4 linked regions of the Lytechinus pictus genome follow. The protein of the gene in region 2 purifies or fractionates together with the protein of the main gene of each other region. This does not show direct contact. Links are inferred from orthologs where the notes say so. Each region holds a gene or a part of one and is shown on either strand. Other genes may lie near its edges.

Region 1 (7,152 bases), on a different chromosome or scaffold from region 2:
ATCTTCTTGCTCGTTTTTCCACCTTTGCTGACACCTATCTTCTGATGTGTGAATGGGCAATACCACACAGTAGGTAGAGATCATCTGCTCTTGTTTTGTCGCAGCCAGTAATTGCTCTGCAAGCAGCATTCAGGGCTGTATCAATCTTTGCAGCATGTGATGACCTAAAACGGATGGGGACTGCATACTCAGCAGTCTAGTAGCATAGAGCAAGAGCTGTCGCACGGATGGTTTTGGCATCTGTTCCCATTTTATGTTGGCAAGCTTCTTCAGGATGCTGTTCCTTGCTCCAACTTTAGCCTTTGTCTTGGAAACATGGTCTTTGTAGGTAAGGGAACTGTCTAGGGTGACGTCAAGGTAGATTGGCTTACTGGTGTGTTCCAACCATTTTCTATACCATCTGAACCTTAGTTATTGGTCTGCATCTCTGTTTTTTAGGTGAAAAGCACTGAGTTGGGTTTTTTCTGGATTTTCCCAGAGATGATTTGCAGCGTAGTAAGGAGTCATGCCTACCAGAGCATTGCTGAGTGCTTTTTCATCTCTTCAGAGGACTGTTTCTGTGAAGCAATGCAAATGTCATCAGCGTACAGGTAGCTCTCACTATTTGGTGGATTGGTTGGTCATTTGTGTAGATGCTAAAGAGTGGGACGATGATTCTTCCTTGTGGGAGACCTTTTCTGTGTCAGCCATCTGCTACTGAAACCACTGAGATGCACAAAAACTGCTGATTTGAGAGCATGCTCTGAATCATCTGTGTTAGCTAAAGCCTTCCTTTGTCATCTCAAAGACTTACCTTGTGAGTATTCGATGATTGTGTCATAAGCTGCAATGAGGTCAACAAAGGCTGCTCCAGTTATCAACCCTTTCTCGAAGCCACCATCTTCAATGCACTGTGCCAGATTCAGCAGTTGACTAGTACAGGACTTTCCGGCCTAAATCCTGCCTGTTCTGGAATGAGGAGCTCATTCACCAAGGGAGCAATGTGGTTGAGTAGGAGCCTTTCAAAGATCTTGTATGTGTGACAAAGCAGAGATATGGGCCGGTAGCTCTTTGCAATGGCTGGTCTTTTGCCTGGCTTGAGTAAGGCAACTACCCTTGATTTCCTCCATAAGTTTGGCATTGTGCTTTCACTCAGACAGAAGTTTAGCATGTCAAGCAGCCGTTGGATTGCAACAGGTCCAAGATGTTTCATCTGCTCACAGATCGAGGACATCATCCAATCCAGCTGCCTTGCTGATCTTCATTGCTTGATAGCATTGCACAAGTCGTTCATGCTGAAAGGTCTTGTGAACTCAGATGACTCTTGGCAGGCTGTCCGCACACTTTTAGGTTGGATCTTCGCGGGTGATTATGAGGGTTACCTTGGTTGTTCACTAGAAGCTGGTGGCCACTTGGCCGGCGGTAACTTGGGACCTAGATTGGGACTTTGTAGAGTCTTTCCCAAGGATCCGAATCTGCATGGTGTTTCTGCCGGTCCTGAATATAGCTTGTACGGCATTCTTGTGGAATATTCTTCCTTGATGATTTCTTCAGCAGCTCTAAAAATGTGTCGTAATGAGTAGGGAGTGCAGGGAGGTTCTGAAGATATGTATCCAGATCTATGGCAAACTGCTCAGTTTACTTTCTTCAGGTTGAAAGTCTGCAGAAGGGAACTTTGCGAGGAGTGATGTTTACCACGGCATCAGGCCATTTGCAACATTGATATTTATCATATAAAATTAAATTATTTTATACACTACCAAAGCAGCAGCAACAATAATATCAATGTTTAGCAACCTACGTGTATACTTTGGCGGAAATGAAAGAAAAATCGGACTCTACATATTTTTATTAAAACTTTTCTGGTCTGAGCCGTTACCATGACAATAGGCAATTTGCAACATTGATATTTATTAATAAAATCAAGCGTTCCCAAGGAAACATCAATTTTTATCATTCTAATGAATTCATGCAGAATAATTACGTAATTTTGGTTTTGGTCATGTAGATTAGTTCGTTTTTACTGTACATCCCACCATTACCTTTTTCAACATGTTATTTTTTACCAAATAAGTTGGTATTTGGTTGCCATGGCAATGGTCTGAGATGGTACTTACATATTTACCAACAAGCATATTTATTTTTAGCAACCTAAACTTAGCGGAAATGAACGAAAAAAATGTGACTCTATATGTTTTTATCAAAATGTGTTCTTTTCTGATAAAAATAAGATGTTACCATGGCAACGGGCCATTTGCAATATTGATATTTATCTTTAAATTCAAGCATTCTCAAGGCAACATCAATTCCTACCATTCCAATAAACTCATGCATAACACTTATGTAGTTTTTATTCTAAATGAGTGGGAAAAATCCAATGCATGTAGATTACATGTAGGTCGCCTTTATTGTATTTCTCGCCATTGTTTTTTTTTACCATGTTATTTCTTTTTTTACCAAATTAGGTATTATTTGGTTGCCATGGCAATGGAATGAGAGTGTATTTATACATTAAGCAAAAACCACTCCTATGTTTAACACCCTAAACGCCGGGAAAATGAAAAAAAAAACAGATTCTACAACTGTAAATCAAAATTTTTACTTTTCTGGAGGAAAAATGAGCAGTTACCATGGCAACGGGCCAATTGGAACCAATTTGATGATCTTAAATATTTTCGAATTTCATTTGTATTTAATTGGAACCCTGAAATCAATCTATTGGCTAATTTATATCATGTTTATCTACCATTTACAGGGGGATACATGCAATTTTTGAGAAATTAATCCGTTGCCATGGCAACGGTCCAAGACGGCATTTATAAATTTGGCAACAAGCAGATTCGTATTCAGCACCCTAAAAATAGGGGGATAAGCACAAAAAATCAGATTCTACAGAAAATTTTTGGAATTCTTACTACTTGCCGCCTACTAATATGTCATGCATTTGCAGAACAGTAACCTAATCATGTCGCGGGAAAAATTGGAACATGCGCGAAAGTCATTGTCGCCCTCTCTAGTCGTGCCGGGGTAAAGGGGAAATCCCGAATCGTTGACTCGAGTCGATCGACTTTACACACGAGTCGGGACACGGAGTCCAATCAATTTGGTCCCCATCTCGATATTTCTACCAGATTTAAATCCCCTATTTACGTAAGCCCAAGTTTGGTTGCTTCATATTTCTCTTTTTCTTTTCAAAAGATTATACCTTTTTACAAAATCAATGTGATGATTGGAGGTGCTTGGAAACTTGGAAGGATTGGGAGTGATGGCCATAGGCGGCGGAAGCGGGGGGGGGGGGGGGGTCCTTTCCCCCTAAATTTGAGGTGGGGGACGGTCCCCCTAAATCTTTTGTTGATAACTTTTTTTTTTGTCAAAAAATTTAGGTGGTTCCCCCTAAAATTTTTGGTTGATAACTTTTTTTTTTTTTTGGGGGGGGGGCCTTGTTAATTTTGTTTCCTGCGTCCCCCCTAATTTTTTTGGCTTCCGCCGCCAATCGTAATGGCGGCTAGGAAGAGGCGCTTTATAGGAATGGGGAGAACAGGTTGGTCAATGAAAAAGATATGCTTACAGGAACGGCAGGACAGGCGTTAAAAGGGGTCTAAAGGACAGCAAAGAAAAGTAAAGAAAGGAGGAAGAAGAATAAGGATGAGAAGAAGAAGAAAAGAATGGAAAAGTCCCAAGTACAGGAAAGGAGAAAAAGGTGGAGGAGAAGAAAAAAAAAGAAAAGTACGAGAAAGGAGGAAAAGAAAGAGAATGGGGAAGATGGGAGAAAATATTAAGAGGATGAGGAGAAAGAGAAGGCAAGGGGGTGGGGTGGGAGGGGAAAAAACCCAAAGAATAAGGAAAATATAATAAGGAGGAAAAGAGAAAGGAGGGGGGAAGGTATACAGGAGAATCAACCAGAACAGAGAGTAAAGTAAGAAATGGGTTGAGTAGATGACTAGTGGGTGATTACAGGTATATAAAGAAAGAAGGAAAATGAGAATTTGAAAAAGAAAAGGATAATAATTTATATTAAATTATAAGAGAACATGAAGAAAATATCAGGGGGTAGCAGTAAAACAGAAAAGGAATTATGAATGGTATATTTTAATTCCAGATAATGCTTCTTCAATATTATTTTTATTAATTCACATCACGCTAGCCAAAATTTACTATATCCTACCCCTTTTTAATCACTTAGTTTGCAATGCTTTGGAGTATATTCTAAAAATTGCAACTTAGAAGGGCAAGGGCGGGGGGGGGGGGGGGACTTCCTGGCTCATATTATAATTTAACTTCAAACGTCGTTTATATCAGGTTTAAAAATCTGTGTCTAACACAAGAGGCTTGACTAATTGCCTGGCAGCATTTATCCACATGATTGTATTAAATAATATAATCTTTTTATGATCTTTTTTTCATCTTCTCAACGAGCATACCAGACCGCAAGTCCAGATTCATTATCCCAGATTGTTAATAGATTTTCAAACATGCATAATAAAAGGACTATCAGTGGAAAGGATAAATTAAAGGTCATGTCCATCGCAATCATGTCACCAAAAGTTGATTTGAAATAGATTCTGAAAAAAATCCAACAACCAGAAATTCATAAAATTTTTATCAAAAACGGATTACAAAATGAAAGTCACAAAATTTTAAAATTTTCTGCTTATTTTGGCATGTTATCCAAATGACAGAACCAATAATGTCACATAGTATTATTTTCTTTTGTATTTTATGAACCTAGTTATCTTTTTAAAAAGCTTTGCGGATTTGACACATGAGAAAGTCTTCAAAAGATTGCAAAACTTGCAATTCCACATGTCCAGGGAGGAATCAAACCTTCAGTTATTTCACATCGCAATGGGGAAAACATTAAAATATTTCAGATTTAATACAAAAGAAACAAATAGTGAGTGGGTCACTCAGGACGTCATTGATTCCCTCATTTGTAATATATCTGTTTTGTGAATCTAGCAAAATTATAAAATGTCATAAAGTTCAATTATTTATGTTACAAGAAAAAGTTCCTTGTAGGTAGAATAACACACAAGAGAAACAAATTCAAGAATCCTTTGATAACAAAAGGTTTATTGATATCAATACAAAAAATATGACTGTATTTACAAAATACATATATATGCCATAAATCTGACAATAATTAATAACATATAACAAGTATTGCAAGTGAAATAACAAACTAATTCAGATTTTACAAGTTTTTGGTCACAAAAGAAATAATTTACCTGCTTGATATAACTGTAACCAATATTTCTAACCACTCTTTATTTCATGGTGCCAACCAGATCTATCTCAAAATAACTTGATAGAGTCAAGGCCATTTAAAAAAAGGATGACTAATCAAAACTGTACATTTCTTTACTTCCCATTGTCCAAAATTCTGATCAATAATGGTCTACAATAAACTTAAATGCAATACAGTGGTGTCAAAAAGTTAGTGAACCCCACCAGAAAATGCACTCTTTCATGCTGAGTGTTGAATGTAGACTGCACTACATTATCCCGAGAGTCCAGAGAAACAAACTTTACTGAATGTAATATTTTATCAACTGACTTCACAAGTAAATGTCTAAAACATGGCAAAACTGAACACTATAATATATGTTCAATTTCTGTTGGGGTTCACTAACTTTTTAGCACACTGTATATTCATTGTTATAATATACTTATTTGAATAAACATATTTTCAAGAAAAAAAATGATTCAACAGAACATAATTTCAAATAAAAATGATAAAATTAGAGCTGTCACTTTAAATGAAGGACACATAATTGGAATATTCTTCTACTTGAACAAGGCATTTCATAACAACCCATCACAACAGTTTACTTTGCTCTCTAGATTATGTCTATACTCATCAAATGGACAATATCACATGGACCTAGTTCAGACTCTCTTCTACCCCCAATGCAGTGTGCCAAAGGGCCCCATTTTAGGACCACTTTTATTCCTCATCTAATGACATTACGGAGCTTCACTTTTTTTTGGTTCTGATAATTTGAATATCTTCTAATTTCACAAAGATCCTCGTTCATTACAAATTTTGAATGCTGGAATTGTTAATGTATCAAGCTGGTTTAAATTGAATAAACTTTCTGTCAACAGAGGCAATGTCAATTTCAACTTCAAAATCATGGCCCAACAAATTATGTTCACACACTTTTTTTTTGTACTTTGTCTAAATTTCAGATTTTTTCTCTAGGGACCTGTGCCCCCAGACAATGGATTCACCAATGTATCTACTTACACATATACTCCCTGAAAGCCATGTCTTAAAAAAATATGATCTACACCTAATACTCAAATTCCCTTACACAAATTCACAGTAGTTGTCTCTTTCACATACACATGCATCAATCTAGAGATCATCAGTTATGAATAGTCAAGAAGATGCCACCTGAATATTTTTATATAGGAGATCACCATACATTGAAGTTAACAATAGCAGTCTCCTGCAAATTCCTCACTGATTTTTGTTTTTATTTCTATAAGAAAATGATGACTCCAAATACATTCTTAGTGGTGTACAAAAAGAGTCAAAAGTACCCCTAAAAAGAGGTCAAGAGGGGGGGGGGGGGGGAGCATAAGTGACACTGGATCCACCCCTGAATATCACTCTTCACCTCAGATCTTTTTCCCTCCTGCTCATGCTACAATGTCAAAATAATTGTATTTTGTTGGAAAACAATAAAAAATGAAGTCAAAGAAACAGAAATAAATCAATCAAAGCAAGTGAAGGACTTGCTGCACTGTTAAGAGTAGGATTATGATGGGTAGACATGGGTTAATGGACAAGGGTCAGCTATGGGAATAGGACTCTAATTCAAATTCATTGGTTCTCCAAGCCAATTTAAAACAATATTAGGCCTCTTAGAAATAATTAGAGGTGTAATATCTCCAAGTATTACTTCAGGACTCACCATTGGTGACTTTTTAAGAGAAGTTTTGTGTCTGCTATTTCGGCAAAAAAATTTAAAATTTCTGCTTGATAATAATTATGATATTACTTGATTTTGATCAAGAGCTAAATCTAACTAAAACTTTACTGAAAGTTTTCATTACCTTTGGAAAGAAACCATTTCAGAAAATATATGATTTGAATATTTGAGTATAATTTGTTAGAAGCTTTTCATATTTCACACCATTAGTAAGATAAAAGTGTTCAAAGGG
Region 2 (6,835 bases):
ACACTAGTCGATCGCCGTGGAATTGTGAAATCACAATACCAGCGAAACCCTTGTCCTACTTTATAATTCCGTCAAGCAAATTTGACTTTAGGATCTTGCCTTCCGTTTGGTATTCATGATTTTGATTAATTTTGTGTGAGCTGTGAGAAATTTTTGAATGAAAATCAACTTCATGATGATTTCTAAAATGTGCGCAAATTATGGTCACCCCATCATACTTCTTCAAGGTTCAAGGAGACTACGAAGTCATCAAAAACCTTTACCTGTCCGAGGCCGAGCACTGACATGATTACGGTACTACTGTCCATGACTGTCCGGTATTACAATACATGATGACTAGACCGGTTCGATATTCTGCACATGCACTGCCAGTGCAGTGCAGCTGCAGTACGAATGTACATAAAATTCATGACCACCGCTCCAACTTGATGTTGAATCTCTAACTTACCGGACTGGGAATTGATCTATTTGTCTCTGAGAATCTCCAATGGAGGGATCACCTAGCCAGGAGGCTTCTAGAGAGTAAAAATCATTTACTAACGTAGGCTTACTCTCAATGAAGCCAGGTCTTCCTTCTCATTCACCTACACGAAGGACCCCAAAACCTGAAACTTTCACCCCCGAGATTTCTACTTTCCTTCTAAAAAAAATAAAAGATCTAGCCCTAAATCATGTACATGGGATAAAAACTTCATTTCCGACATTTCTACGCTCTCTTTATTTTTAAACAAGAATTCATCAAAAAAATGAGAAAAATATTGTGAAAAGACGGAAGAGACTTGCCCGATGTTTACGCCGCCATCTTGTTTCCTATTGTTCTTCGCCAACATTACGCAAGTCTCTTCCGTCTTTTCACAATATTTTTCTCATTTTTTTGATGGATTCTTGTTTAAAAATAACAAGCGTAGAAATGTCGGAAATGAAGTTTTTATCCTATGTATGATGGGGTGTCCAAACTTATACTTCGCGCACTTTTCAAAAATATTCATCAGGCTTAAATGTTTTCACAAAATATTCATAATTTATACAAAACCAATTCAAGAAATAGTAACCACATTGACGGCAAGATAAAATCATGGATGAAAATGTAAAGTAGGTCAAGGGGATTCGCCGGTATCGCGATCTCAAAATTCTATTCCGATCGGCGAATGCGCGCTGTGCTGGAAAACCGTTCAGAAAAAGTGTGACCTAATTTCGTGGACCAAAGTCTTTGTGGACATTTAAACAAAAACTCAAGCTCAAAAAGTGAAATATTTATATCAGATTGATGGCAAAATGCTATAGAATCGGTTAGTACCACATTTAACTCACATTTTTGATGATTTCTGCTTGCAAAATGGTGATATCGTGATGCTTGTTGAGAATATCAGATTTCTTCAAAGTGGGCGCTAACGGTGACAAATTTGCCGATCTTTTGCCAATATTTTCATGAATACTGAACTCATCCTAAAGAAACTTACACCAAAGGGTAATTTTAGGTCGCTTTTCACGTTGATTACGTCAGATTTTAAGGATATTGGCTAGTTTTTTAGATAATGACCGTCCGCGAAGTATGGACACGCGCGAAGTTTGGCAGTAGAGGCGCACAGCCAATATTGGAGACTGTCTCTAATGTGGGAGATTATCTCCAATATCAGAGACTTTTGTAAAGAATTTGGGTATCCAATTTCAGAGACAGTCTCCAGTTTTGGAGACCAATTTCCTTTGTTTACATTTGCTCCAAAAGGATTACCTTGGCGGCAAATAAAAATGTGATAAGAAAAAAAATGAAATGAAATGAAAATCCATAATTTATTGTTCGAAAATAGACATGACATGAAATGCTCTGAAAATTTGCTTTGCCCAATTGATCGTGGGCCCGGCAGCCGCTGTGCAGCGCCAGATCGACGAGGCTCTTTCCCTTTACTCGTTGAACGCCAAACAGGGTAGCAGCAACTCCCATCTTTTTACGTCTTTTGGTCTGACGCGGCCAGGGTTTGAACCCTCGACCTCCCGGTTGTGAGACGGACGCTCTACCAACTGAGCCAACACACTGGTGTGTTGCAGATTCCTCATAAAAAATTACTCCTTTTCACCGTCTACTTTAAAATTTCACCGTCTAATTTTGTTTTGATAAGGATTTTTGTTGTCAATCACACACAAAACAAATGGGCTTCTGACCTCAGTGACACAAAATTTTGGGTGGAAAAAATCATGCTTTTGTTGGTGTTGTTTCTTTTGTCCTTTTGCAAAGCAAGTCTCCAATGTCAATGTGGGAGATTGTCTCCCCTATTTTTAGTATTGGAGAGTCTCCCATATTGGCCGTGCGCCTCTACTGTTTGGACTCACTGCCACAGGCACAGGCATAGGCCTACGTTGCCCCGGGAACCTCGACACGACGTCCTACGTTTTCGGGCTGCCGCAGTAAAGGCCTACGCCTACGGCTACGGTACATCATGATTTAGCCTTAGGGCTAGATCCATTGGCATTACTAAGTAGGCCTATACTATAGTAGGCCCTATTACGGTACTATTAGAACTAGAAGGAAAGTAGAAATCTCGGGGGTAAAAGTTTTAGGTTTTGGGGTCCTTCGTGTAGGTGAATGAGAACCTGGCTTCATTGAGAGTAAGCCTACGTCAGTAAATGATTTTTACTCTCTAGAACTTAAGCCTCCTGGCTTGGATCACCTACCGTACCGGTACTATGTATTAGAGAGAGGTACCGACTACCGTACCGTACCGTACGAACCGGTACCGTACCGCGTACGTTAAGGCTAAGCACTGTCCAAAAATATGAGTTACGGTATCACATCACATCACATCAGCATGATCAGGTACGGAAATGAAGGATTTCTCCGGAAGATTTTCCGGTCTTTACTTCACAACTTCATTAATAATAATGGGCTACATGTAGAACCAGTGTCAATCTCAATAAACTTGTTAACATGCCGTACCTTTAACCTTTATAAATAATGAATTCCTTGATGGGAGAGTAGCGATACATCCGCCATGCAGCAAACGTCTTGCATTTATATCTGTTTCTGCGCTGCGCGCGCGCGCGCGCGATCGATCGATCATATGCTGCATGCATACCGGTAATATATCCGGAAGTATATACTAGTAATATGCTCTTATTTGCTCCCACGGGGCCAAATGACATGGTAGACAAAAGCATGTTTTTTCTCCAGACCTTTGTTTATGGATAAGAATTAAAAATAGAGTATGCTCCAAAAAATCTGGCTGCAGGAACTGTTTAGTGAAAAATATGGGTGAAAATGTCAGAATTTATGAGTTTAAAGTGTTCTAATATAAAGACTAGTGTCAGTGTAAAACTCAATAGCAGTGCATTATTTTGCATCCGCTTAGTTCTAAAATTCAAACCTTTTTTTAACAGATATTATGTTTAAATATTCTGTTTGTTATTATTATTATTATTTATTTGGCCATAAAAAACATACAAAAATTGTACAATGTAGTTACATAAATACAATTTGAAATTGAATAATGAAATATGGATAAAGTAGAAATGAAAGAGAAGAAGAAAAGAGTAAGAAAACGGTTTTTCCATGGGCCAGGGCTCGCAAAAGTAAAATTCAGTACTATTTATTGCCCAGAGGCATGCGAGCCCTCATGGAAAAACCGTTGAGAGAGTATTGCACATTCAATATATAAAATTGCACATTATTAAAATTCAAATAAAACACATTGACAACATCATTTTAAAAAGTATGTAACGCCAGGCAAGATAAAAGAAATAAAGAGGGGTATTGGGAAGAATTTGAATACCCATGCCGGACTGATTAAGGAATGTGTGTAATGCTTAACATAAAAAACACAAAAATAACTTAAATTTGTGTGAGGTACCAGAGCCCGAAAAGCAACAATGAAATGTAATAAGGAGGAATACCCTAGACAACAGCAAGAGCTAGCATGCCTCCACATTCCTATTAATGACGTAGGCCTACTCGCCAGGCTCCAGCACCTAATACATAACAATCATAGAGACAACAAATAGTAAAATTACAGGAAACTCGCCTCCTTTGATGAAGAAAAAGTAGAGAAATTAAGAACTGCGTAGTAATAATAATAATTAAAAAAATATAGTAATGATATCGAGATTCTTAGGTTTTTATGTGCCCCAGCAGTTTTGCTAAAGAGGAATTTAAAAAAATCAACTGTACCAAATGGATATAAAGGATCAGCCTGTACTACTTTTGAGCATTATTCTGAAATATTAATTGAAAAAAAAGAAAAAAGATTTAACTATATACTAAATCCTTACTGACAGATAATTGAATCAAATTACAATAAAGCAAACACAATTGTTGGATGCACATCATAGAATGAAATATACAAAGTACATGTAATTATTTAAGTAATATGGCAAGCATATCAAATTACAGGAAAAGTGTAATGGCAAAAATTAATTTAGGATGCGTTTATCCGCCACTTTTTTTACCCTAGAATCATGATCTGAATCATGATTCAAATCATGATTCTGCAGAATCACGATTGCGTTTAGTCGAAATTGAATATAATCATGATTAGAATCACAAACATGAAACACGAAAAAAGGGGCATTTGGAAAGACGTTTCTGCAGAATCACGTACGAAAATGTTCGAATAAACGATATCGTGATTACAATCATGATTCTATGACCTCACTGTTGTGTCGGGCTACTTTCGATTTGACTCTTGCCAAGCTCAAGGCGCTCTTATATGCTCATTGTATGATTATGTACTACGCATGCATTTCTTGTCATGTTCAAGTTCTGTGTTGGTCATCGCATCGTCCACTACTTTTCATTTTTTGGTCATGTCTTCAACTTCAAGTTCTAGAAAATGAATTAACTGGACAGACAATGATCTCAATTGTTGTTGAGTATACAGTATCAACATTAATTGGATCTACGCTGAAATTCACTTCCGAACACCATTTTGGAAAAACTAACAAGATGAATAGAAGCATATGGAACCTATAAAGTATATGATAGAAATAAACAAAATGAGGTATAGACTGAATTCTGGAAGCAAAAGATTTTTCGAGAGCCGAAACACGTGCGAAAAACTTCCTCTGTCAAACTGCGCACTAGTGTGATGCGCACTGGATTGGCCCGAATCTGAGGAGAAACAGCATTGGAATGAAGGTCGTCTAAACGCTGATTCTGTGATATTGTGATTCATGTTTGTGTTTTGAATCATGATTCAGATCATGATTCAAATCATGATTCTGACTTGAGGTCGCATAAACGCAGCCTTAATATAACTGTTCTGGAGGTAAGGTCCAACTAAACAGAGGAGAAAAGAGGGGGAAGAGATATATGCACTGTATATTGAAGCAGACAAAAATAATTCTTTAAGAAATATCATTGTAATCATAGCGCAAATAATGAGGTGGTGAATTGACATATCAATGCACCAAGTGTCTGAATGCAGATGCATAAACAAGCTGAAGCTTAGGGTGGTGGAGGGGGTTAAATGTTGGTGCTGTGTATGTACATATTTTGGTCTTGGGGTAAAGACGTATACAAGACACATTTTTTGCATGTGTTGGAAATTGTGTTGCCATGGTAACAGTGTATTATGATAAAATAAGGTAAAAAAATCTTGCAGTTAGAACTATACTTCCTCTGTTTTCAACCGATTCTCATGAAATTTGGTACACACATTGGTCTTGAGGTGAAGATGTCTAAGACACATTTTTTGTGTCTTTCAGAAATCTTGTTGCCATGGTAACAACACATTATATGGCAAAAAGTTGGTAAAAACCTTGCGATTTGAACTTCGTCAGTTTTGAACCAATTAATTCTCATGAAATTTGCTCACACATTGGCCTTGGGGTAAAGATTTGCAAGAACCTTCTTTTTTTTTGCATTTGTCAGACAGTGTGTTGCCATGTTTACCACATTGTAGATTAAACTACTTCTCAGTTTTCAGCCCGTGCTCATAAAAGTTGGCACAAATATTCATTTTGGGTAAAGATTCATATTCAATGTTAAAGGGGAATCCAGCCTTGGTTATGAAATGTTCGGTTAATGACAAGGATTATAAAAATAGAGAGAATGGTGAAAGTTTGAAAGAAATCGGACAAGCAAAAATAAAGTTATGGCTGCTTTAAAATTAAGATCCCTGAGACTTTATATGTAGATTTCAAATTGGCAAGTGGGTAAGTAAATTATGACAAGTTGCCCCCCCCCCCCCCCCCTGGCGGATTTCACCGGGAAAATAAAAGAAAAACGGGAAAAAGAAAAAAAGGAGGGAGAAAGAAAGGGGAAGGAAAAGGAAAGGAGGAAAGGGAAAGGGAAAAGAAAACTAAGAAAAAACATGAAAAAGGGAAAACGGAAAGATAACGGGAAAAGGAAGGAAAAAAGAACAAGTGAGAAAAAACAATTCGCCCCGATATACAAATACATTAGCATGATTAGTAAGACAGGGAAATAAATTAAAGATGACAAAAAGGCAAACAAAAGCGGGAAATAAAGGCAGAATGGAATTAGCCAAAATCTAAATTGGAAAATAAAGAATAGGGACAAGATAACGTACACTACCGGGCTGCCGAGGATTGAGATAACGAGCGGGAAGAAAAATGAATGGTATATAGCATAATGTCGTATGAAAGTCTATCATAAACTTGCTAAATCTCCAAAGGCTCTGTCCAAGACTCAAGACCCCGTGCAGTGGGGGCTCTTCATCTGTAACCTTTAATGGGTTCTATAACGGGCCCATATATGGACCCTTCCTGCATTAAGCTTTACATTGAAGCACTTGCGTACCGGGGGTGGTTCCACAGCCAAGGGGAAATAAAAGAAAATAAAGGAGGCAGCGAAATGAGATGAATGAAAAAAATATATGACATG
Region 3 (7,759 bases), on a different chromosome or scaffold from region 2:
AGCCGTATGGAAAGCAATTCCAGGCTCCAGGGGAGTAAGCCTACGTATACATGTAGTAGACTTATTTTTACTCTCCAGGAGCCTCCAGGCTAGGTGCATGTGCATATGGAACTCTTACCTCAAAGATTTCTCCACACAAGAAATCTATGAAAGTTCATTCACCTGTCGAGTGTTAGTATACTAATACTAACCTCGCAAAACTTGTGAGTGGTCGAGTGCCAACATCAATTGAGTGCGCTAGTCAATGTAAACATATCAGGTTTCATTACAAGATTGGAAGACGGCAAGTCGTGAAAAATAGACGGTGAACTGGAGGGAACTGAGGTCACTGAATCTAATTTTAGCCCTCTCCATCCCCGTACTTGCCGTCTATGTCCCGCAGGCGTAAGTGAAAAAAAAACTGTCCCCATAAACAAGGACAATCTCAGTTTATCAAGACATGATTTCTCCTGGTTAATGAGGATATCTTTGTTTTCTGGGACAATCCCAATTTTTGGACCAGCGCCTCTACTGTACTGATATGATATGGAACTCTTGCCAAAATCCCTGAATCGTGTGTGAACAGTGAAGTGAATGGGTGCGCAGACATGGGGCACCATTTTTTTTTTCAATCTGAAAATGACTGGCTGAGGTTTTTTCCCAAGAAATATATTTCTAACGTTAAGCTCAGCTTATCAGTCCCACCCAAGGGTTCATTACATGCCGCCGCGCACAGAAAAATCAAGCTATAGTTGTCGTGTGTGGTGGACACCAGGGTCCCGTAACCCGGGGGGGGGGCACTCAGTAGGCCTATATAATGCATAGTGGGTATGTGCCGCAGAGGGGACCCCCATTTTTACACTCAAATTTCCGTTCCAAGGCATAGCATTTTTGTCTTCTTGAGAAAAAGAACAAAGAAAGCCGCTCCAAAGCATAGCATTTTCTTCTTATTGAGAAAAAAGAAGAAAGAAATCCGCTCCAAAGCTTCGCATATTTTTCGTTACGCCGTTCCCGTCGCATTGATCTGCTACAAGGAGCTGCAATTTTGGTGAAAAGCGGCCGCAGAGCGCTGTCCGACCATCGCCTCTGCGCAAGCGCACCCGGCGGAGGCCGTGCTAGCTGCATCATGCACGCATGCCCGTTCCACAGGGATGCATACGCACTCACACGCTGGCGATCCGTTCCAAGGACCCCCGTTTTCACAAACATTTGTAGTTCCGAAGCCCGTTCCGAGGACCCTCCTTTTTACAATAAGCCCGCTCCAAGGCCCCCGTTTTTTGTCTCGCCCGCGGCACACCCCTACCACTTTTTTGGTCGAGTGCCCCCCCCCCCCCCGGCCCGAAACACAAAACTTTCAGTTAGCGATTGATCGTACACTTGATTTTAATTTTACGAATATGATTATGTTATGTTGTAGTCCCTAGTTATACCGAGGTTATACCTGACTGCTAAGAAAGCACGAATGCCTGTGAGCAAGCAACCAGTGGACCAACGGCTTAAGGTCCTCTCCGAGGGACCTGGTAATGAGGATAAATGCCTTACCAAAGGGCACTAGCGCACCACTTGGGAATCGAACCCGGGTCACCGGAATCCGAAACCCCCGCTCTACCGACTGAGCTATCGCGCCTCCCCAGATACATTGAGTGATTGACATTGTAGTCGATGGAATCAATCGTAGGAAAATGTTCTACGTCTACGATCATTGCTAAGCTTTGTGTTACGGGTCTATGAAGTGGGGTCCCACCGTCCCAGGCTCAGCACGCCCGACCCACTAGTTAGAAATCCACTGCCAAACGCGGTTCATGGTGCGAGGTTAGTAACCTCGCAAGTCGCAATACGTGTGTGACTGTGACCACTCCTAGTACCAATGAGGTCCAACATTACATGTATGGACCTCATAGGCGACATCAGTAGTATTTTTGGTTAGAAATCTCTGAGAACAGGATATTTAAACATTATATCACAAGTACAAGCTATAATTCCTTTCTCTTATTTAAATTATAATTTTATAGTGTAAATGCATCGTTAGCAACAACAAAAAATGAAAGAAATGAAGGGGAACTTACATTTTCACGGCTTTTTCCTGATTTTCTGGGCAGCTGCTCTTTTCTTCTGACTCGCGATCGAAGCTGATATGAAGATCACGTGATTCGCGTTCTCGTCAGCTGATCGGTTGGTTATTCTTTTCGTCAGACGTTAATAATATATATTTTATAATGCTAGCATTCATCGCTAATTTAGGTGAAAGAGATTGAAGTTAAACAGCGCCAGGTCGGAATCATAATTATTTTGGAAGAGTGTATTTATACACTCGATCTCATACCTGACGTAGACGGCGCTATTCAACAAATGCACAATCTTCAATATAAAAAATAAAACAGAAAGAACGCCTTGAACACAGGCCAAAATGCCTAACGATTTCTCCGCGGCATTAACAACTATCGTAAAGGGCGCTCCATTTATCAATAAAGATGGACGCTAAGCTGTCTATGGCGACAAAATTTGCCGCAAATATTTACGAAGAATTGTGAGAAATGGTCTGAAAATGCAACAAAAGAACCGGTGAGTACCGATTAAACATTATTAAATTTGTAAATAGATTATACATACCTTGTAGATTTAGTTTTTAAGGTGATATTAGTGCTTAGTTCTAAGCTAGGGAGGCCCAAACGCGCGTGAGTGGAGTCCCAGTTTATTAGCACGGGTAAGTATTGGGGTGTCGCCTAGAGTGACTGTGACTGTGTGAGTGCATCAGTCCTGCCTCTCATGCCTCTGGTCCCATCAATTCAATTTCAGTGTCGGTTGAGTGTTTTTAATTTAAAAAAAAAGCCACGGTCTTTTCTTTCACAATCATCAGTAATCACAACATAACTTATTGTGAAATAGTCATATCAACCTAGGTCTTCCTACATTTTTAAAATCAAATCAAATCAAAGATCTTACCCAAGCGTACGCGACAGCAAAGCCAATAAGGGACAGCAACGCAACAAGAGAAAACGATTCGATTGATTGATGAATCTCGTGATAAAGCGCCATCTATTGTTCGAGAGTGTAGCAAAAAAAAATGTAAATTGGCGGATAAGGTTCTGTGATCGTGAGGATGCCTAAATCTGTTCCTGGGGCGGAATTAATCCGTTATCTCGGGGAGGGGGGTGCATGCACAACTGGCTTCCGAAAGTTCAAATTAGATGTAGATATTACGAATAAGCGGAGTGGGCAATAAACAGATGTTTTTTATCATCTCCAAAAAGTTCCACGACCACTGGAAAAATTTATCAGAGAAAAATAATTTTATTTACTTATAGCCCGAATTATTTGAATGTGCATAAAAGTCATTGATTAATCAATGACTTTCAATCTAATAAAAGGGTCATTTTCTTTTCTTGCTCCAAAAAAAAGAAGCCCCCCCCCCCGTGTTCCACATTGCTAATAAATATCATCCTCGTTATATTATCTGATGAAACGGTTTCTGACAGCATGTAGTTGAAGTTTCCTGCATTTGATTTGTTTTGTCATGTTTCTCCTTTTGTTTTGGTTTTGTTTAATTTGTGACTCTGTTTATTGTTAGAAATGTTAACTTATCATTGTAACTTATGTTCGATAATTTGTAAAAAAAAATTGTGCATTACATTATTGTAATCCCCGTTGTAATCCTTTATGTTTGGATTTGAAAAACCGTATATCACTGGCGGATCCAGGGGGCAATTCACCCCCCCCCCTCCTTGAGAGGGATTTTTAATGTAAAATTGCCGTTAAAAAGATGTGCCCCCCCCCCCATTTGACAGTGAATACCTTTATTTTGTTTAACTTTTTTTAATTTGAGGGAAAATGTGCCCCCCCCCGGCCCCTTTGAAAACTCCTGGATCCGCCCCTGTGAGATAGTAGGGCCTATTACTGGCTGACCTCAAGAACTATGATTTTATGGTATTGCTGCAAGCGGATATACTAAAAGGTGTTACACATCAAACGCAGCACCCCTTGGAAATTAGCTTGGTCGGCTAAAATGTAAAGTTATGATCTAAAACCCTTTTTCTTCGATCTCAGTTAGTAAACTTTTTTTTTTCCCCCAGACAAAATAATCCTTTTCGGGTGAAATGAACCTCGGCTTTCTTTCTTTCTTCCTTCCTTCCTTCCTTCCTTCCTTCCTTCCTTCCTCCTTCCTTCCTTCCTTTTTTTTCTTTTTCTATCTTTCTTTTTCTATCTTTATTTTTTTCTTTCTATCTATATAGGCCTATCTTTCTTTTTTGGGTTTCTTTCTTTCTTTTCAAGCAAATCAGGGTGAACTTTAGTCTTATAATTCCCATGCAGGCCCCTGCAAAGCGGGAAAGCATTCCCCGATTCTCATCATTTCTTTATGATCCAATTCAAGCAACGATGTCATACAACGATGATGATGATGACAGGGGCGGAAATCTCTCCCAAAAGGTATAGGGGGACGCAGGTGCGGATCCAGCCTTCGCCAATAGGGGGGCGGAAATTTGTTTCAGCCATATTTTTCCCCGATCGGCAGCTCGAAGATGATTTTTGTTTGTGTCTTTGAAGGGGTAGTCCTCATTATTCACCTCTTAGCTTTATTCTTATAAATTAATTTACAATATCATAATCCTTATTCATATGATGCGAGCGCGAAGCGCGAGCTAATTTTGTTGTTGTTGAAATTTTATGTATTTTTCCTAAAATTTGAACATTCTGGGCAATGTTTGTTATCCTGAAAAAGATGTGTATGCAACTAAATAATTACTACGAACGCAAAGCGCGAGCAGAAATGAACTGATGGAAAATATACCAGTTAAAGATTGCTTGCATTTAGCATTTAATAATCTAATAATGCGAGCGCGAAGCGCGAGCTGAATTTTTTTTTACATTTTCACCTAAAGAATGGAAATTCTAAGCACTTTTTGTAACTCGAGTAGAATAGTGATATAAGTAGACAATTGATGCGAGCGCAAAGCGCGAGCGGAAAATTTCGAGATTTAGTCCTAGCTATACTATTTACTTAACGGGACACTCTATTCATGTTTTGTAAATCATGAAAAGGATTAGTATTAATGATGCAAGCGCAATGCGCGAGCAGAAATTTTTTTTATACGTTTTGAACTGGTACCTGTTGAAAAAGTACCTGTTAAAGGACAATTCCACCCCAACAAAAACTTGATTTGAATAAAAAGATAAAAATTCAACAAGCATAACACTGAAAATTTCATCAAAATCGGATGTAAAATAAGAAAGTTATGACATTTTAAAGTTTCGCTTCATTTCACAAAACAGTCAGGCGCGTAGCCAGGGGGGGGCGGTGGGGGCGGTCGCCCCCCCAAAAAAAAACGTCCCCAAAAAGAAAAAAAAGGGAAAAAGAGGAAAAAAAGGAAAAGGGAAGGGAGGAAAGGGAAGAAAGGTAGCTTTGTCGGTTTTTTTTTCTTTTTATTCTTTATTTTTTTTCTCAAAAGAGAAACTCCTTCACTCTTGCTTTAAATTTATATATGAATTTTGCTTCCGCGCTGCGCGCGGTTAAATGACAATATTGAAGTTCTCCATTGTTTCCCCCACCCTTTCTCTAACTCTGCTTTTCCACCTCAGCTATATGTGTTTCTTGCCAGTTAAAGTTCAAATGTATAGATTAGGGCATGGAATTAGAGTAAGGTTAGGCCGAAGTATATGAAGTTATCTTTTTTTTTATTGATCGCGCAACTTCTGGTCGGGTCGGCTCCGGGCGGGTAAAATCTTTATATCAATTTCTGCCGTAAAGTCAACTTCTCCCGCTTTTCAGGTCATTACTAAACAACCATAATTTGGGGCAAACAGGTTCCTAATTGAAGAGGAATGTATAAAATTCGTGTCGTATTAAATAAAAAAGTACAATATTTTTTTTCAAATTCTATTAATCTTCATGTTATTTCCCTGCACATTCATCTCCTGTCCTGTTTTGCGCCCTCAGTTTGAAATTTTGAATGACACTTAGGTTTCTTTATAATTAAAAATGAAGCGCTTCAGGATAAGTCAAAGAAATTAGGCATCCTTTTTTATATTATTTTAATAAATCACAGAAGTTTCAACTTTTTGCGCACTATTTTCCTTGTAATGAAGTTCAATAATCTTAGGAAATCAATTGAATTAGAGCCGATGGGGTATTAGATATATCTGCATTTGATGAAACGTCCGCCCTTTGAAATTTCAGAGTTTTATTGCTCTGCGCGGGGAGGAATATCTTCCTCCCGGCATATACACTTCTTCTCCTCTGTTTTGCGAGTTAAAGATATGCACTGTCGCTAAATTGTTTGTAATCAAATCTGATATTTCCAAGGAAGTATTCAATATATCTTTGAGAATACCCTTTTCTCGGGACCCTTTTCATGGCAAAAAAATTTGATAAAACGCTTTAGCTTCCGCGCTTCGCGCGGGGTTATAATGATTTTAATTTCCTCCATTGTATTCCTTTTTGTGCGTTCACAATCACTTTTAAAAACAAGTTCAAAATCACAATAAAGTCAACTGAATTGGAGCTGATATAGGTACTAGAGACAAGAGAGACGGTTCCTTTTCATTTTAATTTATGAAACACCAAAAGCTTCGCGCTTCGCGCGAGAGGGGGAAACTCCCCCTCCCTGCACCCACCCCCTAGGGAGCGCGCTTCGCGCGCTCTGTAAGTGTTGGCACGCTTCGCGTGCATTTACCGCCCCCTCCAAAATGAAATCCTGGCTACGCGGTTGAAAACGTACAGTTATATGCACATATCGGTCGGTATGCAAATCAGTGAGGGAACTGATGACATCACTCACTCACTATTTCTTTTGTATTTTATATCAAATATTTTGATTTTCTCATCATTGTCATGTGAAATGAAGTTTCATTCCTCCCTGAACACGTGGAATTCCATTATTTTAATATTTTGTGCTTCAGGCAGGGAGGTCCTAATCATCAAATTCGTAAAAATTGAAATATTGTATAATTCAAACAATAAAAAACAAAAGATATAGTGAGTGAATGACATCACCGACTCTCTCATTTGGATGTAACTGGCTCGTTCATATAACTATTTTGTTAAAAATAAGTGAAACTTTGAAATGTCATAACTTTCTTATTTTACATCCGATTTTGATGAAATTTTCAGCATTGTGCTTGTCTGATTTTTCTCTATTTATTCAAATCAACATTTTTCAGAGGTGGACTTGACCTTTAAGGACTGCTTGCACTTAGCCATGAAGGCATTACATATTTTAACAATCAAAAAATGCGAGCGCGAAGCGCGAGCTGAAAATTTTTGAAATTTCTAAAGAAAGAATGGAAAATTTTAATCAATTTTTGTAGTCGTGAACAGGATAGCTATATCATCTAACAATTATTGCGAGCGCGAAGTGCGAGCAAAAAAAAAATCGAGATTTAGACCTAAAAATGGGCCACTCTGTTGATGTTTTGTAAATCATGAAAAGGATGAGTATAGGGGGTCTTCCTACAATAATTATGCGAGCACAAAGCGCGAGCAGAATTTTTTTTTTTGTGATTTTTTTTTAGTGAAACTGGATAATGATTTAAATATAAACATGCGCGCGTGTTTCTTATTTAGACCTATAATCTAGGCATTCTAAATACATCTTTAATCATGAAACGTTGATATTCCGATCTGAAAAAAAGAGTCAATTTCAGCTTTATTTCAAGCAATATAGGGGGGGGGTCCGGGCCCCTGGATCCGCCTATGGGGACAAGGGGTTGGAAAATTTGACAATAAAAAAAAAAGGTTATTATTCCAAAAGTAAGGTCATCTCGTCCCAAAATAATGTTTTATTTT
Region 4 (7,975 bases), on a different chromosome or scaffold from region 2:
GCATTTAAGTGCGACTTAAGTCATACTTAAATCTTTGTGAAACACCCCCCAGGGCATCCAACCAAATAACAGACCTAGGGGATATTGCAAAAAAAATATTTCCAAGTAATTGCTAATATTCTTTTGTAATTCACAAGTGATTTATCAATTTTAGCTGCAGCAAATCAGATTACACTGCTTGTTTCGAGACAGATTAGCAATCAATTACAAATTCGCTATTAATTTCAAAATTTAGGATTTAAGAAGCAGATTGCATATTTACAATTAATTGTAAGACATAGGATTATTTTAAGGACTGGAAATAGACTTGCAATTGATCACAAGTTTCGTGCAACGCCCCCATTGGCTGGTTAGATCATTTGAAAGACCCAGAGATGGTTGGACTAATCAGTAGTAGACCAAATAGGTATAGCCAAGATGGTGTTAGACAATCTGGGAATTAGACCATATAAGTCAATTGGTCAAGTGAATACAATCGTATACATTGGAGTTGGTAAAAAGAATTCAATCTGAATATGGCAGGAGATAAAGAGAGAGCGCGAGAATCCATGCAATATTTACCTTTTCAGCTTCCTTTAGCTTCTCTTTCCTCTTTTCAGCTTTCCTTTGCAATGCTTTTTCTAAATTGTTCTTCTTCTTTTTGACTTGAAATGCTGTGGAATATATAAATAACTCATTATAATCACTAACGACCATTGTGTGACCATAATAAACACAACATTCAAATTTCAAAATGTCTAAATCATCTTTCTTCCAAGTTATAAACTGCTGAAAAAAAAATACAATTATAATAACAATGCTTCAAGAGGGACAGCAAAATTCATTAACATCAAGAGCATTTTACCCTCAAATTACAAGATGTGGCAGTGAACTTAGTATCGAGAAATGAACTGGTTAAGACTTTGAAGAGATTGAAATTTGTATCATTATACCAAGCTCCCATTATATCTGCCAGACCAAGTGAAAATTTAGCAAAGATTGTTGTTTTCATTGTCAAAATTCACTGTCTGGTCCGATTTCAACAGTATAATAAGCTTTTGTTATAAAGATTAGAAATGAATGAATAATTTGACTATTAGCCAACAAGAGCAGAACTTCAACCAGTGCCATTTGCGACGGTGCAGCATAGAGCTTTAACCTCAGACTTATACCAAAAGCAATTGACAGCAGAAGCAAGTGTTCTAAAAGGCTTCATCCTTTACAAATTCGATATCTCCGCATTTCTCTATATTTTTTCTGATATCCTAAGTAGGATTTTTAACAATTTTGAGGATTGGTGGGATTATTGGCTGACATAGCCTGATAAGTTACCTCCTCCATCTCCAGAAGTCGCTGTCTGCTCTGTAGAACCTGCCTCCTTTTTCTCCTCTTTCTCCTCCTCCTCATCTGATGCAGCCCAGTCATCCTAGAAAACAAAAATAATAATCAGCTTCAATTTCTGTTCTTCCAAGACCAAGTTAGACCTCATTAGACACGATTACTATCCATGACTGAATTGTGCAACAACAACAAAAAATCAATAAATTTTCCATTACTTTTGGGGTTTTATTTTCTTGAATTTCATAAGTTGGTGCCTGTGGCAAAGAAGGCCAATCCTACAGCACTGACCTCATTGGTCGACAATGACGCATACACAGGGGGTACATTTTTAGAAAGTCAGCACCGCGTTTTTTTTTTTTTTACTGGTTTAAATAAATTCAATTCAATGAATTTCCAGTGATATTATAATTTTCTTTTAAGAAGAAACTTTGAGTAAACTTAGTCACTTTTTTAGATCTAGATTAGAATCTACTGTTTATCAGTAGAAGCGCACAGCCAATATGGGAGACTCTCCAATACGGGAGACAATCTCCTATATTGCAGACTTGCTTTGCAAAAGAACAAAACAACACCAACAAAAGCATAATTTTTTCCACCCAAAATTTTGTCTCACTGAGGTCAGAATCAAAGCCCGTTTGTTTTGTGTGTGGATGACAACAAAAATCCTTATTAAAACAAAATTAGACTGAATTTTTAAAGTAGTGGGTGAAAAGGGGTAATTTTTCATGAGGAACATTTTTATTTGCCACAAACGCAACGTAATCCTTTGGCAGCAAATGTAAACGAAGGAAATTGGTCTCCCAGACTCTAAAATTGGATTCTCAAATTCTTTACAAAAGTCTCTGATATTGGAGATAATCTCTCTCGTGGGAGATAGTCTCCCATAATTGGCCGTGCCCGTGCGCCTCTACTGTTTATTGCAGTCTCGATATTGCAAATTATATCCAACTCCAAGCCAAGCCAGCTTAATCTATTAGTCTACTATTTACTAAAAGTACGAAGTCTAACTCTAAGTTAAACCTAAAATTTTGGTTAGGGCCTAACGTTAAACATCTGTGGATTTTGTACAAGTCAATGGTGCTTGAATTTGAAATTCTGGCTAACATTGTCATTATAATACTCTCGACTCTGCAGCTTTTCTCCCCAAAAAAATTCATGACTTTTTTCAACCTTTTATTTTGAGGTCCCAAAAATGTATAAAAAAAGGATAAAACTAAAAGATCATATACATATAAACATACAATTAAACTAATCAAATTGGCGTAGTGATGTGATTCTATATATAAGTAAAAGAAATAAAATTAAAGCCACTGAGTGACACTGTTTCAAACTCGCCACTAAAATAAAATGCACTCCGACACATACACAACACAAGTCAAAAGGAGTGGGGCTAAGCAAAATCTCACCTTCACATCTTCTTCCTCATCCTCTCCTTCCCATTTATCACCGGCAGTCGCCTTGGCGAAACCCGCATCAGGATCAAAATCGTCGTCCTCTGATTAAAAAAGAATCATAAGATAAATGTAAGAAATAAATGTACTATTTTGCACTGGAATTACTCAAATCAATATTTCACTATAATTTTCTGACATATGTCACTGCACATGTTACTCACCCCAGTCGGCCATATTTACATATTGGGCGGGTGCGAGGCTAGCTAGCTGCGAGCGCGCTATAATGCGAGCTTACGCGCGTGAATGCGATGGGTGCGATGACTTGCCTGAGAGCAATTTGTGTGGGCCGGGAGAAACTCCCCCCCCCCCCCCCCCCGCAGGGGCGGATTTGATCTACCATTTTCCAATATAGAGGGGGTGCTAACAAAATGTACATTTTCCCTCTCGATTGCTTGTAAAGCTAAAATCTGAGGGCATTATTCATAAAGACTGTAATTGAATACATTACGCCTAACGTTACCGAATTAGGTCGTGGCGGGTCGTACTAAAGAAAATAATGTGAGCGCGAAGTGCGAGCTGAATTTTATGTTTTTTCATGAACTTAGACTTTAGACTTTTGTAACCATTGGCAGGATACGAGCAAGAATTTATATATCTTTACTTATTTATTTATATTTATTTAAGTTATAAAAGCCAATAAACTCAACTTTCAAAATAATGTTACCAACAGGGTTGGGCTCAATCACAATATAATTGATCAATTAGGTAATTAATTACATTTTTTTTAAATTGTATTTGAAATTTTGAAAGGGAAAGTGATTGAAAAAAATGTAATTGACTTGAAATACTGTCATTACTTTTAATTACATTCAATTACTTGACAATAAACTTATTCAATTTATTATTTGATTTCATGTATGACATTTTTCATGTCAACTTTTTTTCAGCATCAAAGAGTGTAATAGGCAGAATCTGTGCTCTTTAACATAAACCTTCATCTTGTCAGTTTCTCTGTAACTTATAAAGTATGTTGAAATAGGTGGTGCTAGTAGTACATACAGAGTACAAATTGATTTTATTCATGACTTTTATAGAAAGTAATTGAAATTGTAAATGTAATTGACAAAAGTAATTGCTGATTGTAAGTGAAAACTAATTGAACATTATTTTCTACAATTACCCAATTGTAATTGTAATTGAAGAAAGATGAGCCAAACCCTGGATACAAAATAATTGGAAAACTATTCCTACTTAGGGTGAGCATTGCCCATTTAACAAAGGGTATATGACTAAGGCTGAGCAGGAATTACATGTTTCTTTCAGTTTTTGAGAGGCAATTCCTTAGCGGGGTCCTTTGGAAATTGCAGTTGAGGGTGTTGTGATTGAGACCAGGGGGGGGGGGCCACTTCCATTGACGAGTGGATACCATGCGCGACCACGGGGTCTTGAAAAGCACACTAAACACGTATTTTCCATATTCTGAAAATGCACCCCTTAACAAGTATTGGAAACAAAACGATACTATTAGCAAGTATTCCCTGAAATCATGGACCTATTCGTAATAGGTCCATGCTGAAATGAACCCCTAAACAAGTACATAGATATTTTATTGTTATATGTCACGCGTCCGTCGGTCGTCGGTTTTACCTTTAGACACCATAATTTTGGTTTAGTACGGCCCCACCTTCCACACCTCGCGCAAATCGGACTCTAAACACGTAGTGTTGGGGCAAAAATGACATCCTTTATAGAACATTTTGATTTTGTTTTATCATCCCCGCATATTTGACCCTAAACACGTATATTTTTCCGAGCGAAATAGATACCCTTTTTTCAATATTTTTGTGTTTTTGACACCCTTATCACGTTACGTACGTAACGTGCCCTATCTTGAAAAAGACACCCTTTTTGCGTGTTTTTTTGGTCGCGCATGGTATCCACTCGTCAATGTAAGTGCCCCCCCCCCCCCCCCGGGGGATTGAGATCAGTTTAATTTTCACCTTGCACGAGTTAATATGAATTGCAATCTTTGGTGTAGGATTTTTTTTATTTATATCTCAGCGCATGTAATAAAGGGGGAAATAGTACTTACTGAGTCGGGGGGTGGAGTAGGTTGATGGGATAAGAATATTTAGTAACCCAAAAAGAAACAAAGAATGGGAAAGTGAAAGAAGAAAAAGGGGGAAGGGGTACACATGGTTTTTCATTATTTTTTTTTTTTCATACAAAAATTTTGCTTCCGCGCGGGAAAATTACGAAATCGCTTTTTCCATTTTTTTTCTGCACGCCTTTTCTGCCGGCGGTTTATTGTGTACGACTCGTGAATTGGCCAGAAAGTATAACGGCCTCTAATCCAACCTTCAGCTGACACGGTTTTCTTGTCAGGATGCCACCGTGCCTGACCGTCAGTTGCGTTCGTTTGGTCAAAGTATATGACCGTTGCTGATGGTTTATGGAAAAGACTGATTAACAACCATCACCAACCGTCGTCTCTGGTTTCTCCAGTCAGATCATCCGTCGATTGCAATCGATCACCTCTCTCGTCTCATTTCAGTCAATCGGACATCCGTCGACCATTCAGTCACCAACATTCGTTCCGTACACCAATCATTTGTTCCTTTATAAGGCTGCGTTTATGCGACCTCAAGCCAGAATCATGATTTGAATCATGATTCAAAACAAAAACATGAATCACAATATCACAGAATCAGCGTTTAGACGACCTTCATTCCAATGCTGTTTCTCCTCAGATTCGGGCCAATCCAGTGCGCATCACTAGTGCGCAGTTTGACAGAGGAAGTTTTTCGCACGTGTTTTTGCTCTCGAAAAATCTTTTGCTTCCAGAATTCAGTCTATACCTCATTTTGTTTACTTCTATCATATAGGGTCCATATGTTTCTATTCATCTCGTTAGTTTATCCAAAATGGTGTTTGGAAGTGAATTTCAGCGTAGATCCAATTTAATATTGATACTGTATACTCAACAACAACTGAGATCATTGTCTGTCCAGTTAATTCATTTACTAGAACTTGAAGTTGAAGACATGACCAAAAAATGAAAAGTAGTGGACGATGCGATGACCAACACAGAACTTGAACATGACAAGAAATGCATGCGTAGTACGTAATCATGTACATACAATGAGCATATAGAGCGCCTTGAGCTTGGCAAGAGTCAAACCGAAAGTAGCCCGACACAACAGTGAGGTCATAGAATCATGATTGTAATCACGATATCGTTTATTCGAACATTTTCGTACGTGATTCTGCAGAAACGTCTTTCCAAACGCCCCTTTTATCGTGTTTCATGTTTGTGATTCTAATCATGATTATATTCAATTTCGACTAAACGCAATCGTGATTCTGCAGAATCATGATTTGAATCATGATTCAGATCATGATTCTAGGGTAAAAAAGTGGCGGATAAACGCACCCTAACACTCATAAGAACGTAGTCTAGAGTGTAGGTTCAATGCTTGATATCTTTACCTTTAATTTCTCAAAGATAAATCATTGTACAGAGCAAAATGATATACAAGAGATGAAGGGCAGCATTTGCACTACGGTAAAGGGCCGTAACACAAATCGTCCTTAATGCTCATCGACTCCTCGTATTTATGCATTTTTTAACACTTCGATAAAACAGTTACTAAAGATGACTTCAACAACTACAATAACCTAATTAACTTTGCTAATCAACCAGCTTTCTCGAATAAAACAACTGGATAATGCTTAGGCAACTTTGCTAATAATAAATTAATCAAAAGGTTTCATGACAACTCCAACATGTTTATAAAATGTGCGATTTTTGCTAATTTTCGTTAAATCATAGAACGTCTACACATACGATTTCCACATAGTCTACGTTTACAGACCCTATAAGCTCTCTATGACATTAAATCGGAAACATAGTTCGTTACACGACTCCCTCCTCTCTCGAGCTTGGTCCCCAAGCTAATTAATAACAAACTGTCAACTACTAAACAGAAGGTAACGAAAAACTCCAAAACAACATAATTTCAACTTTAAGTTTCGAAACACAATAAAGACTTTGTCATATAGTTTCTTGTAACAGGTAATTCAGTACAACTGTTTTTATACAATGCAAAGCAACACTGAAATTATGCATTGATTAAAGTCCACAAAAGTCAATATTTTTGACGTCCGGTATCCGTAAAAAAACTTGAAGATTGCAATTGAGTTCATTATCATGTATCCTTCAGAACTGGTAACTTAGTCCTGGTTAAAGTTGTAGGAAACTCATGTCACAAAATAATCCCGCAGGTATGTAGCAGGTCGTCTGTCACGGGAGGGATACCGTCTGGCTGAAGTTTCTTTTTCAGGTGTGGTTTCTCCTGTAGCAGTGGGTAATTGTTCATTAGTTGTACCCCCTGCTGTTGCTCCATCTGTTGCGTCTGCTGGACTGTTGTCTGGTGGCTCTCCAGGTACATCGTCATTGGGTGGATTGTCTCCTGAGGAGCTTTCCAAAGTGTGGTCGTCCGCCGAAGCTTCATGTGGTTCACCTGCAAGGGTATCATCTGCGGCATGGCTTCTGTCTGGTGGATCTCCAGGCACATCAACATCTGGCATAACGTCTTCTGGGGAACTTTCAGTATCATGGTCAGTTGTTAACGTGTCATCTTCTGGTCTATCAGATGCGTCTTCACCTGCTGGCGTCTGGTCTGGTGGGTCGGTTGTGTCATGCCTGTTGGCACTACTTGGCGAACTTTGTCCTGATTCTTCATCCGCTGAATTCTCCGGGACCAAGTCTTCTCCAGCGGGTCTGAATTCCCAAGTGGGAAGCCTTACGCCTTGATAGGGCTTCAGCCTGTCAATGTGTACGACCAGTGGTTTAGACCTCCGTGACTGTTGAATCCTAACTGTGACATCTGACAGGCGAGTAACAACTAGGTAAGGGCCAAGCCATCGTGGTTGCAGTTTCGGGCAGCGGCCCTTTTCTCTGGTTTTCTTTCGTAGCCATACAAATTGTCCCACAGCATAAAGAGCTGTATGCACCTTCCTGTCGTAGAACGACTTCTGCCGACGACTCGCTGTCTTCAAGGATTCTCTTGCTACCTTGTGAGCTCTTTCTAGACGATTCCGGAGCCTGGCACTGTAGTCTGTCTGGTCATCATATTCGGCGGTCTCGGGAGGAGGGAGATCCCAGTCCATAGGCATGGTTGTTTCTCGCCCTAACATTAACATGTTGGGTGTTTCACCGGTTGATCCCTGGGGGCAACATCTATAAGCACATGTAGCGA

What was found.
Region 1: the proteins of casein kinase II subunit beta (region 2) and FACT complex subunit SSRP1-like fractionate together in Homo sapiens (co-fractionation; 5 studies listed by BioGRID and IntAct, with this or other methods). This does not show direct contact. The link is inferred for Lytechinus pictus from reciprocal best matches to the Homo sapiens genes CSNK2B and SSRP1.
Region 3: the proteins of casein kinase II subunit beta (region 2) and cyclin-dependent kinase 11B-like purify together in Homo sapiens (co-immunoprecipitation; 3 studies listed by BioGRID and IntAct, with this or other methods). This does not show direct contact. The link is inferred for Lytechinus pictus from reciprocal best matches to the Homo sapiens genes CSNK2B and CDK11B.
Region 4: the proteins of casein kinase II subunit beta (region 2) and eukaryotic translation initiation factor 3 subunit J-like purify together in Homo sapiens (co-immunoprecipitation; 3 studies listed by BioGRID and IntAct, with this or other methods). This does not show direct contact. The link is inferred for Lytechinus pictus from reciprocal best matches to the Homo sapiens genes CSNK2B and EIF3J.

Annotation. Positions count from the first base shown.
Region 1 is NC_087246.1:34,904,799-34,911,950, forward strand, and holds the start of FACT complex subunit SSRP1-like, read right to left. Parts: upstream 3,001-7,152; 5' UTR 2,895-3,000; intron 1-2,894. UniProt on the Homo sapiens protein: Component of the FACT complex, a general chromatin factor that acts to reorganize nucleosomes. The FACT complex is involved in multiple processes that require DNA as a template such as mRNA elongation, DNA replication and DNA repair.
Region 2 is NC_087259.1:826,645-833,479, forward strand, and holds the start of casein kinase II subunit beta, read right to left. Parts: upstream 3,024-6,835; 5' UTR 2,933-3,023; intron 516-2,932; exon of another isoform or gene 449-515; intron 1-448. UniProt on the Homo sapiens protein: Regulatory subunit of casein kinase II/CK2.
Region 3 is NC_087258.1:23,329,601-23,337,359, forward strand, and holds the start of cyclin-dependent kinase 11B-like, read right to left. Parts: upstream 3,018-7,759; 5' UTR 2,923-3,017; intron 2,710-2,922; exon of another isoform or gene 2,590-2,709; intron 1-2,589. UniProt on the Homo sapiens protein: Plays multiple roles in cell cycle progression, cytokinesis and apoptosis. Involved in pre-mRNA splicing in a kinase activity-dependent manner. Isoform 7 may act as a negative regulator of normal cell cycle progression.
Region 4 is NC_087249.1:11,752,654-11,760,628, reverse strand, and holds the start of eukaryotic translation initiation factor 3 subunit J-like, read right to left. Parts: upstream 3,018-7,975; 5' UTR 2,949-3,017; coding exon 2,936-2,948; intron 2,816-2,935; coding exon 2,727-2,815; intron 1,406-2,726; coding exon 1,312-1,405; intron 654-1,311; coding exon 562-653; intron 1-561. UniProt on the Homo sapiens protein: Component of the eukaryotic translation initiation factor 3 (eIF-3) complex, which is required for several steps in the initiation of protein synthesis.